Linked DNA regions of Callithrix jacchus. The protein of the gene in region 2 purifies or fractionates together with the protein of the main gene of each other region. This does not show direct contact. Links are inferred from orthologs where the notes say so. Each region holds a gene or a part of one and is shown on either strand. Other genes may lie near its edges.

What was found. The genes of interacting proteins can lie anywhere in the genome.
Region 1: the proteins of WDR24 (region 2) and NPRL3 purify together in Homo sapiens (affinity purification with western blotting; 6 studies listed by BioGRID and IntAct, with this or other methods). This does not show direct contact. The link is inferred for Callithrix jacchus from reciprocal best matches to the Homo sapiens genes WDR24 and NPRL3.

What each region holds. Positions count from the first base shown.
Region 1 is NC_133513.1:2,370,325-2,374,934, reverse strand, and holds part of NPRL3 (GATOR1 complex protein NPRL3), read left to right. Parts: intron 1-155; coding exon 156-285; intron 286-3,274; coding exon 3,275-3,464; intron 3,465-4,300; coding exon 4,301-4,493; intron 4,494-4,610. UniProt on the Homo sapiens protein: As a component of the GATOR1 complex functions as an inhibitor of the amino acid-sensing branch of the mTORC1 pathway.
Region 2 is NC_133513.1:2,944,606-2,948,566, forward strand, and holds the end of WDR24 (GATOR2 complex protein WDR24), read right to left. Parts: intron 3,816-3,961; coding exon 3,143-3,815; intron 2,678-3,142; coding exon 2,559-2,677; intron 2,482-2,558; coding exon 2,360-2,481; intron 2,274-2,359; coding exon 2,169-2,273; intron 2,087-2,168; coding exon 1,746-2,086; intron 1,666-1,745; coding exon 1,481-1,665; intron 1,393-1,480; coding exon 1,224-1,392; 3' UTR 1,103-1,223; downstream 1-1,102. Other genes in the region: JMJD8 (jmjC domain-containing protein 8), read right to left, coding at 90-339, 421-469, 609-698, 776-861. UniProt on the Homo sapiens protein: Catalytic component of the GATOR2 complex, a multiprotein complex that acts as an activator of the amino acid-sensing branch of the mTORC1 signaling pathway. The GATOR2 complex indirectly activates mTORC1 through the inhibition of the GATOR1 subcomplex.

The DNA.
Region 1 (4,610 bases), about 570 kb from region 2:
CTGCTGTGTCAGTCACACCATTCTTCCCTCATTGCACTGTCCTGGCCCACCTGCCATGCTGTGCTTGCCTGCTGCCCACAGAGGCCAGTGTTGAGAACACAGCGGGGTGGGGGGAGGTGTCTGCTGCACTCACTGGCATGCTGTCTTGCCTCCAGGTACTCCCCGCTGGCTGAGCAGTTCTCCCACCAGTTCCCATCTCATGACCTGCCGTCTGTCCTTGCCAAGTTCTCCTTGCCAGTCTCCTTGTCAGAATTTAGGAATCCCCTGGCCCCCGCTGTGCAGGAGGTGAGTCACAGAAGCTCAGTGAGTCCAGAGTGGTAGATGCGTAGTGGATCGGGCACTACCTGCCTGGCTGTTGGTTCTGATCTGAGAGCTCTCAGCACTGGCACTAAGTGCTATGTGCCCAGCATGGCCCAAAAGGCAGCTGCCGGGCCGTCTGCAGACACTTGGCCAGTGACCCAACACGTGGGCGGTCATCCCCTCCCCATAGAGCCCACCCTTGCTGTGGCAGGCAGTTTTTAGGGTTAGAACTGAGTTAAGCTTGGCAGGAGAGTGCTTACCTCTTTGGGCCTACAGACCTGCGTTGTACCCCTTTGGGTCTGGGACTTCCTACAGACAAGGGTGCAAAGGTAGCTGTGTTTTCACTGGGCCAGGGCCTGACCCTCTGAGAGAGTTTAGCTTCTTCCTTCACTTTCGGCCATGGTTCAGGTGGCCACAGGTTCTGTGGGTATGAGTTCTGGGGCCACTAGTCCCCAGAATCTCCTCATCCAAGAGAGCCTAGAGAGGACCCTTGTGGGTCTGGGTCCGGGCAACAGGCAGGCAGGTTGGAAGCTAGGAGTGCAGGGGATAGGAAGCCTCGTGCAGGTCTGTGGGATGAACTGGTGCATCTGCATCTGCATCTGTAGCAGAGTCAGTGGCTTCCCATGTGGGCTGCAGGTGTCACAGCTGAGGTGGCTTTGACAGGAGCCAACGAGGCTCTGCCACCCTTCCCTCCACTGAGTTCTGGGCAGAGACCCAAGGCAGGGCCAGATAGGACAGGTGTCAGAGACAGACGAGCTGGGTGTTCTCAAGTCTTTGTTTTCAACAGCATTCGACTGAATAAGTGCCACATTTATTAGGTGAAACCAGTCTGTAAAGCCAAACCCTTTCTGTTCTCAACCTGTGAATAAGATTCTGGTTTTCCAGCTGCTTTAGACACCAGCCCTAAGAGAGTTCTTGGTGCGGTTTTCGTGGGGCCCTTGGTTTCTGGGAGCTGAGCTAGGTTGTACCTGCTGAATAAAAAGCACTCCCTGCACCCCTCCTCCTGGGGCAGAGCTGAGGGAGGACCTGCTGGTGCACCCATCCCAGAAGCCTCCCTTAGGGTGGCTTTTCCAGGCCATGACTGAGTGGTTGCTCCAGGCCTTGTCAAGGGGCCCAGGTTCTGCCTGGGCTCCAGTGCTGGGAAGCCCCTCTGTTTCATTTTTTAATTTTTATTTATTTATTTAATTTTTTTTTTTTTTGAGATGGAGTTTCATTCATTACCCAGGCTGGAGTGCAATGGCGCAATCTCGGCTCACCACAACCTCCGCCTCCTGGGTTCAAGCAATTCTCCTGCCTCAGCCTCCCGAGTAGCTGGGACTACAGGCGCGCACCACCATGCCCAGCTAATTTTTGTATTTTTAGTAGAGACTAAAAATACACCTTGTTGACCAGGATGGTCTTGATCTCTTGACCTCGTGATCCACCCACCTCGGCCTCCCAAAGTGCTGGGATTATAGGCGTGAGCCACTGTGCCTGGCCCTTCATTTTTAAAAAATGTATTTATTTTTTATTTCATTTTTGATTGCACTCCAGGGTAGAGTGCAATGGCACAATATTTGCTCACTGCAACCTCTGCCTCCCCAGTTCAAGTGATCTCTTGTCTCAGCCTCCCAAGTAGCTGGGATTACAGGTGTCCACCACCACGCCTGGCTAATTTTTTATATAAACGGCGTTTCACTGTGTTGCTGGTCTTGAACTCCTGACCTCAGGTGATCCACCTGCCTCATCCTCTCAAAGTGCTGGGATTACAGGCATGAGCTACTGTGCTCAGCTTTATTATTATTTTGATATAGAAACTTGCTCTCTTCTCTAGGCTGAATTGCAGTGGCATGATCTTGGCTTACTGCAACCTCTGCCTCCCGGGTTCAAATGATTCTCCTGCCTCAGCCTCCTGAGTAGTTGAGATTACAGGCGCCTGCCACCATGCATGGTTAATTTTTGTATTTTTAGTAGAGATGGGACTTCACCATGTTGGCAGGCCTGGTCTCGAACTCCTGACCTTAGATAATCTACCTGCCTCAGCCTCCCAAAGTGCTGGGATTATAGGCATGAGCTGCCGTGCCGGCCCCCTCTTTTATTTATTAAATTCATGTAAAATCTGGGTATCTTGCAGTCCTTTTGACCAGGTCTTCCTAGTTGCCTGGGGTACATCCCCCATTCCCATCCCCAGTTCCCCAGCCCACTCCCAGGAGGTGACTCTGGCCAGCAGCTCCTTGTGGACCCTCCCGGAGATTGGTAGACAGATGTGTATCTGATGACACTGATGCTGTCTCACACTGCTCGCTGCTCAGCATTTGTGTCTGGGCAGTACCCTCTCAAGGGGACTGGACTCGACCCCACACAAGGCTCCTCACTGTCAGCCCTACCTGCTAACGCAGAGACACTGGAGGGCCTGGCCGGGACATGCCTTCTCACGGTGGGGGCAGGGGGGCGGGGGGACTCCACCCCCAAGCACAGAGTCACTGGCCTCAGCTTCTTGTGGCTCCACTTGTGCTCAGGGTGGTCCTATCCAAGGAGAGGACTTTTTGCTCTTAGGCCACCTGCTCACTGCCTCTTTCTAAACAGTGTCTGGGGTTGTCTGGAGGTAGACTGGTTGGCTGGGTCCAACTGCAGGGCCAGTGGGCTGAAGGAGAGAGAAGAAGGCAGAAGGGCAGCTGCAGCAGCAGTGTGGGGGGTTTGCTCAGAGAAGGGGTCACAGGGACCTCCATATCTCAGGTCCCATATCTCGGCCAGACACTGGGCAGCCCAGGTGTGATCCAGATGTTCCCCCAGACCCTCTCCCTTCCTGGGAGGGTGAGCTGGCCTTGCAGAGCTGGCTGGCAGCTGGGGGCTCCCTTTCTGACGAGAGGGCCTTTCTGCCTGGGAGTCAGCACAGGGAGTATGCTGTGGCCATGTCTAGGGCTGTGGCTCTCTGATCCCCCAGGAAGGGGTTGGATTGGGGATGGGGACCAGCCTCACCTGCTGCCACCCACAGACCCAGCTCATACAGATGGTGGTGTGGATGCTGCAGCGCCGGCTCCTCATCCAGCTGCACACCTATGTCTGCTTGATGGCTTCACCCAGCGAGGAGGAGCCCCGCCTGCGAGAAGACGATGTCCCCTTCACTGCCCGGGTTGGCGGTCGAAGCCTCAGCACGCCCAACGCCCTCAGCTTTGGCTCCCCAAGTAAGGGTCCCCAGAGCATCAATCTGGAAGTCAGGGGAGACGCTTGGGAGGGGTGCCCAGGAGGCTCCACATGGGCACTGCTATGGGTGATGAAGGGCCTCCACACGGCAGCACACGCACATGCATGCCCCTCGTGTCCTCTGGGAGACGCCTCTCCTGTCTCCTAGCATCACCATGACTCTGAGGTGGCAGCTCTGCCTCTGGGCTCTTCAGCAGTTTTGCTAGAGTCAGGAGCAGCTCCCAGCCCACCAAATCAATGCTGGAATCTGTGCCCCAGCCAGGGATCCATGCGGGATCCACACCACGACTGGGACAGCTGACACCTTTGGGCCACCAGAAGAGCAGTCATGGCCAGTGTGGCTTGAGAGCAGCAGCCTGTTCGTAGGTCCCAGGTCCTCAGGCTTGGGGAAGGAAGTGGGTGGAAGACTCTGAAAGTCCTCCCCTGGCTGAGGTCTGGCTGTAGGTTTCATGCTTCATGTGAGGACACTGCCTGCCTGGTGTGCTTTGTCCTCCATCCTCGATGAGGGACAAATGGCCAGGCCCACCTCGGGGTATGTGTGAGGTATACATTACACCTCTGTTTTGTTTGCTTGAAGTTGCCCCCAGAGGGGAGACTGCCCATTTCCCAGGTCAGCCATGAGGGGCATGTGTCACACCCAGGAGGTGGGGCAGCAGCATGTGCTTACAGGCAGATGTTGCAGCTGGGGCACCAGGCAGGGGCCTTGTGGGAGTCACGGGTGTCACTGGAGGCTGGCTGCTGGGTCTGCCCTTGCTGTTCCCCTGGTGTCCTGGAATTCCACTTGGTGCTGCTGTCACCTGACCCCTGCCCCCCACAGCCAGCAGCGATGACATGACCCTCACCAGCCCCAGCATGGACAACTCCAGCGCAGAGCTGCTTCCCAGTGGGGACTCGCCACTGAACCAGAGGATGACAGAGAACCTGCTGGCCAGCCTGTCGGAGCATGAGCGTGCAGCCATCCTCAGTGTACCTGCAGCCCAGAACCCTGAGGACCTGCGCATGTTTGCCAGGTAGGTGCAGGTTGACCCGTTGGGACTGGGGCCACTTGGAGGGTCGGGGCAGGAAGTGGATAGGGATGTACCCAACAGGACCACCAAATCCACTGACAACACATGGGGCCCTGTTTC
Region 2 (3,961 bases):
CTGCAACAGAGACGGTGGGGCAGGGATCCCGGCACTGGGAGGCTCCAAGCGTGTCGCCGCCCCAACACCGCCATACATGGCTGACTCACCATTGCCCAGGGAGGTGGGGTCCTGGGGGTGCAGCAGCTGCTCCACATACTCCTGGAAGGGCAAGTCCACTGCAGGGAAGGGACGGGTCAAGACCGGCTGCTGCAGCCGTCGCGGCGTTGGCAAGCAGGCGGGCCCGGGGTGGGGCGGCTCACCCTTCCGGTAGGAGTAGGTGTTGGCGGTGCTCAGCCGAACCACTCTGTCTCCGAACGACGCCAGCAACCTGTCGCGGGAGCACAGGGCCCGGAACCTCTGCGGGGGGGCGGGCGGGGGCGGGGCTTAGAGGCCGGGCCCAGCACGCGCGAGGGTGTCCGGGGACGGGCGCGCGCTCACCGAGTTGTCCGTGAGTCCCTGCAGGATAACGGGCCTGACGAACGCGTACCTGGAAGGAAGGGCAGAGTCGCGCCCAGGCTCGACCGCCACCCTCGCCGCCCCCGCCCCACACTCGCGGGAGCTCGGGGAAGGCGCCTTAGGCGGGCGGGTGACCAGGGCGCGATCTCCGCGGTCAGGGGCGCACGTACTGCTGCACGAACTCGGCGTAGGTAAGGTCGGCGCGGCGCTCCACCGTGCAGCGCTGCTCCTCGGCCGCGGCCCCCGGCCCGCCCCGGCGCCTGCGGGCACAGCCCGGTCAGCCCGCGCCCTACCCGCCGCACGAGACCCCCCGCCCGGCCCCTCCCGGGCCGCTCACCACCCGCCGTCGCCCTCCTCCCCCGAGCTGGGTAGAACCAGAGCCGCCAGCGCCCAGAGCGCGAGCAACCACGACCCCGGCGCCATGAGCCCGCCGCCCTCAGGCAGCCGCGCTGCACGCCGGGAACCTCAGGCCCGTCCGCCAGCCATTGGCCGCAACCTCGTCGTCATGGCAACCGCCGGGTGCCCGGATGGTTCCGGAAGTGATCTCCTTTGCCCCGCCCCGGAAGAGGCCTATTGGCATCGCTGGTTACCATGGCGACAGCCCCGGAGAGAGCCCCCGCCCAGCAGCTGCACGGCGAGCACACTGCAAGCCCCCGCGCGGACAGCGATTCCACTTCCTTTATTGGGGTTTCAAGTTCCAGCCTCTGCCCGTCTGGGGCCCAAGACCAGGCGGGGTTTTGCACGTGGCCGGCCGGGCGGTCAGGTCCCCAGAGCCTAGCAAACGCTCAGGAGTACTCGCAGAGGTGGCCGCAGCCCGCGGGGCAGTGGGAGCTGCCTTCCAGCCACTTCATGATGTGCTGCAGGTGGCCGCCGTGGCTGCAGCCCTGGCACCACACGAACAGGCCCTTGACAACGTGGTGGCAGACGGCGCACATGCTGGCGCAGCGGTGGCACCTGGGGGCGGGCGGGAGGGCGGACGCCTCAGCGGGGGCTCCTGCACTGCCTGCAGGCCCCTTCCCCACCTCCCGACCCCACTGCCCACCTGTCGCAGACCCAGCCCCGGCTGCTCATGGGCCGTTTGCAGTGGCTGCAGTTGACATGCAGGGTGGTGGAGGCCTGGTTGAGGCAGCTGACGGCTCGGCTCGTGCTCAGCTTGACCACCTCGTTGGACACGTTCCACAGGCGGAAGCGCTGCAGCAGGTCGATGTAGGAGGTGTACCAGTGCTCCTGGGAAAGGAGCGCGTGGCGGTCGGAATCGGGGCGCAGGGCAAAGCCTTCGGAGGGAGGAGGCCCCGCCCACCACACACCTGGGTCTGCTCGTCGATGTCCTTGCGCACCCGTTCACCCAGGACGATGAGCACAGACACAGCCATCTGCACGTCGCCCTGCTCAGCATAGAAGTGCAGCATGTCCCGCACCAGCATGCTGAAGAAGTCGGGCGGTAGGCGGCTGTCGTACAGCGCGTGTGAGACAGACAGGAGCGAGAAGGAGGAGTCCACGGGAGCCAGGGAGGCCACATCCGCCTCGCTGCCGCTCACATGCGGGGAGTCGGCCTTGTCCTGCAGGTGCTCGGGCCCGGGAGGTGTGTCCACAATCTCGTGGCGCAGTGGAAAGGCCTCCTGCGGCAGCACGCACTCGGGCTCCTCGGCTGGGAGGCCCAGGTGAGCAAAGGCTCTGAACCTCCGTCCTCCACCTACTTCTCTACCCGACCCCGCCTCGACCCCACTTACGGTGAGTGTGTTCTGGGTCCAGCAGGTACAGCTCGTCATCCTCGCCCTCCACGTCACCCAGGAGGTAGTCAGCAGGTACGTCGCTGCCCTCGGTTTCCTCATTATCTGCCCCAACAGTTGGGCTGGCATTCAGGCTCCTGTGGGATGCCCCCGCCCCACTCCCACCAGCACCCCCACCCACCACAGCCTACCCTCATTGGTGATGAGTGTGGCCGAGGAGTCAAGCAGAACCGTGTCGCTCCGTGCGTCTCCTTTGCTGCGGTCCAGCCGGGTCTCACTGCCCAAACCTGGGGCCATATCTTTCAGGTTGAAACTGAAGGCAGGAAAGGCCCATGGGTAGGTGGGCTTGAGCGGCCCAAGCCCCTGGGGAGAGCTACCCCTGGCATCTACCTGTTCATGAGCTGCAGGCCACAGGAGCCACCCTTGCCCATGCTGTGGCTGAGGTTTGCGGTAGGCAGCAGGCCCGGGCTGCAGTAGATGGTCCGCAGCATGGTCCATGTCTGTGCCACCTGGGGGCAGGCACTGGTCACTTGTGGGGGTCCAGGTCACCCAGCACCCCATGCAGGTCCCCCTCTGCCTGGACAGAATCACAAGCTCTCAGCATTCAGCTGCCCCACAGACCCAATGTCTAGGCCCACCCCGGTAGGGAAGCCGAGGCTCATGGGAAGAGAAAAATCCCAATCTCCATCCTACAGCAGTACAGAGGGAATGGAATTGGGCAGTGGGGAACGGCGGGGCAGCGGCTCACACGTCCACTGCTGCCAGTGCCTGGAGAGCTTAGAAGCAAAGGGGGCGGAACAGAGAGCTTGACCACACGACTCCCAAGACTCCGCCCTGCAGAGAACAGTGCCGGGTCTGGCCACCCTGGAGCCTGACCCTCAGCTACTGGGGCAAGGGCTGTTGGTACGACTGGGCAGAGCCCATCGCGGAGCTTGAAGTCGGGGGCAGGACAGCTGGCAGGGGAACCCCCCTACCTGGTCACGGCCGAGCTCCCGAGCCACCTTTGCGTTGTGGTCACACAGCTCGGCCAGCGGCCGGCCGGCCAGTGCGTAACGCTCAGCTGTGTCCACAAACCAGCGCATGGCGCCACCACCCGGCTCCGTCTCAAAAACGCTGAGGGCACTGGAGGCAAGGCCTGCGAAGGGCTCGGCAGGGTCCAGCTTGCGCTTAAAGAAGATGGGGTGGCGCCGGTCACCAGTGTAGGGCTTGCGCCCCGACTCAGCAGCCACGAGGCTCTCCTTGGCGGCAAAGGCCAGGTCCCCAAAGAGGCCGTAGCAGAGGCCCTCAGGGTTGGCGCGCTCCACGGGCTGGCTGGCGTCACGGAACAGGTGCTGGCACAGTGAGCTGTCCTTGGAGCCGGACAGCAGGAAGGAGGGGTCGTGCGGGTGGCGCCAGGCGATGCCCGTGGTGACGTCTCGGTGCTCCTCAAACATGGCAGCTGGCACGAAGGGCCGGCGCACGTCCCAAACGTAGATGTTGTGGTCGACCATCATGGAGCATGTGGCCAGGTGGTGGCGGCACTCTGGCCGCCACTTAACACGGGCCACTGACGCGATGGTCTGCACACAGTGCATCTCCTTGGCACGGTGCGTGGTCATGTCCCAGACCTTCACCATCTTGTCGCGCCCTCCTGTGGCCAACCAGCCCCTGTGGGAAGGCCCCACCCAAATCCTCAGTGGCCTTTCCTGTGGAAAGGGGACCCCCCCCCAGCTCTGCTACTCCCAACTGTCTCACAGGTCTGAGGTAGTGAGAGCCTCCTGTCAGCCTGCTGCCCCTGCACCCCCATGGCACAC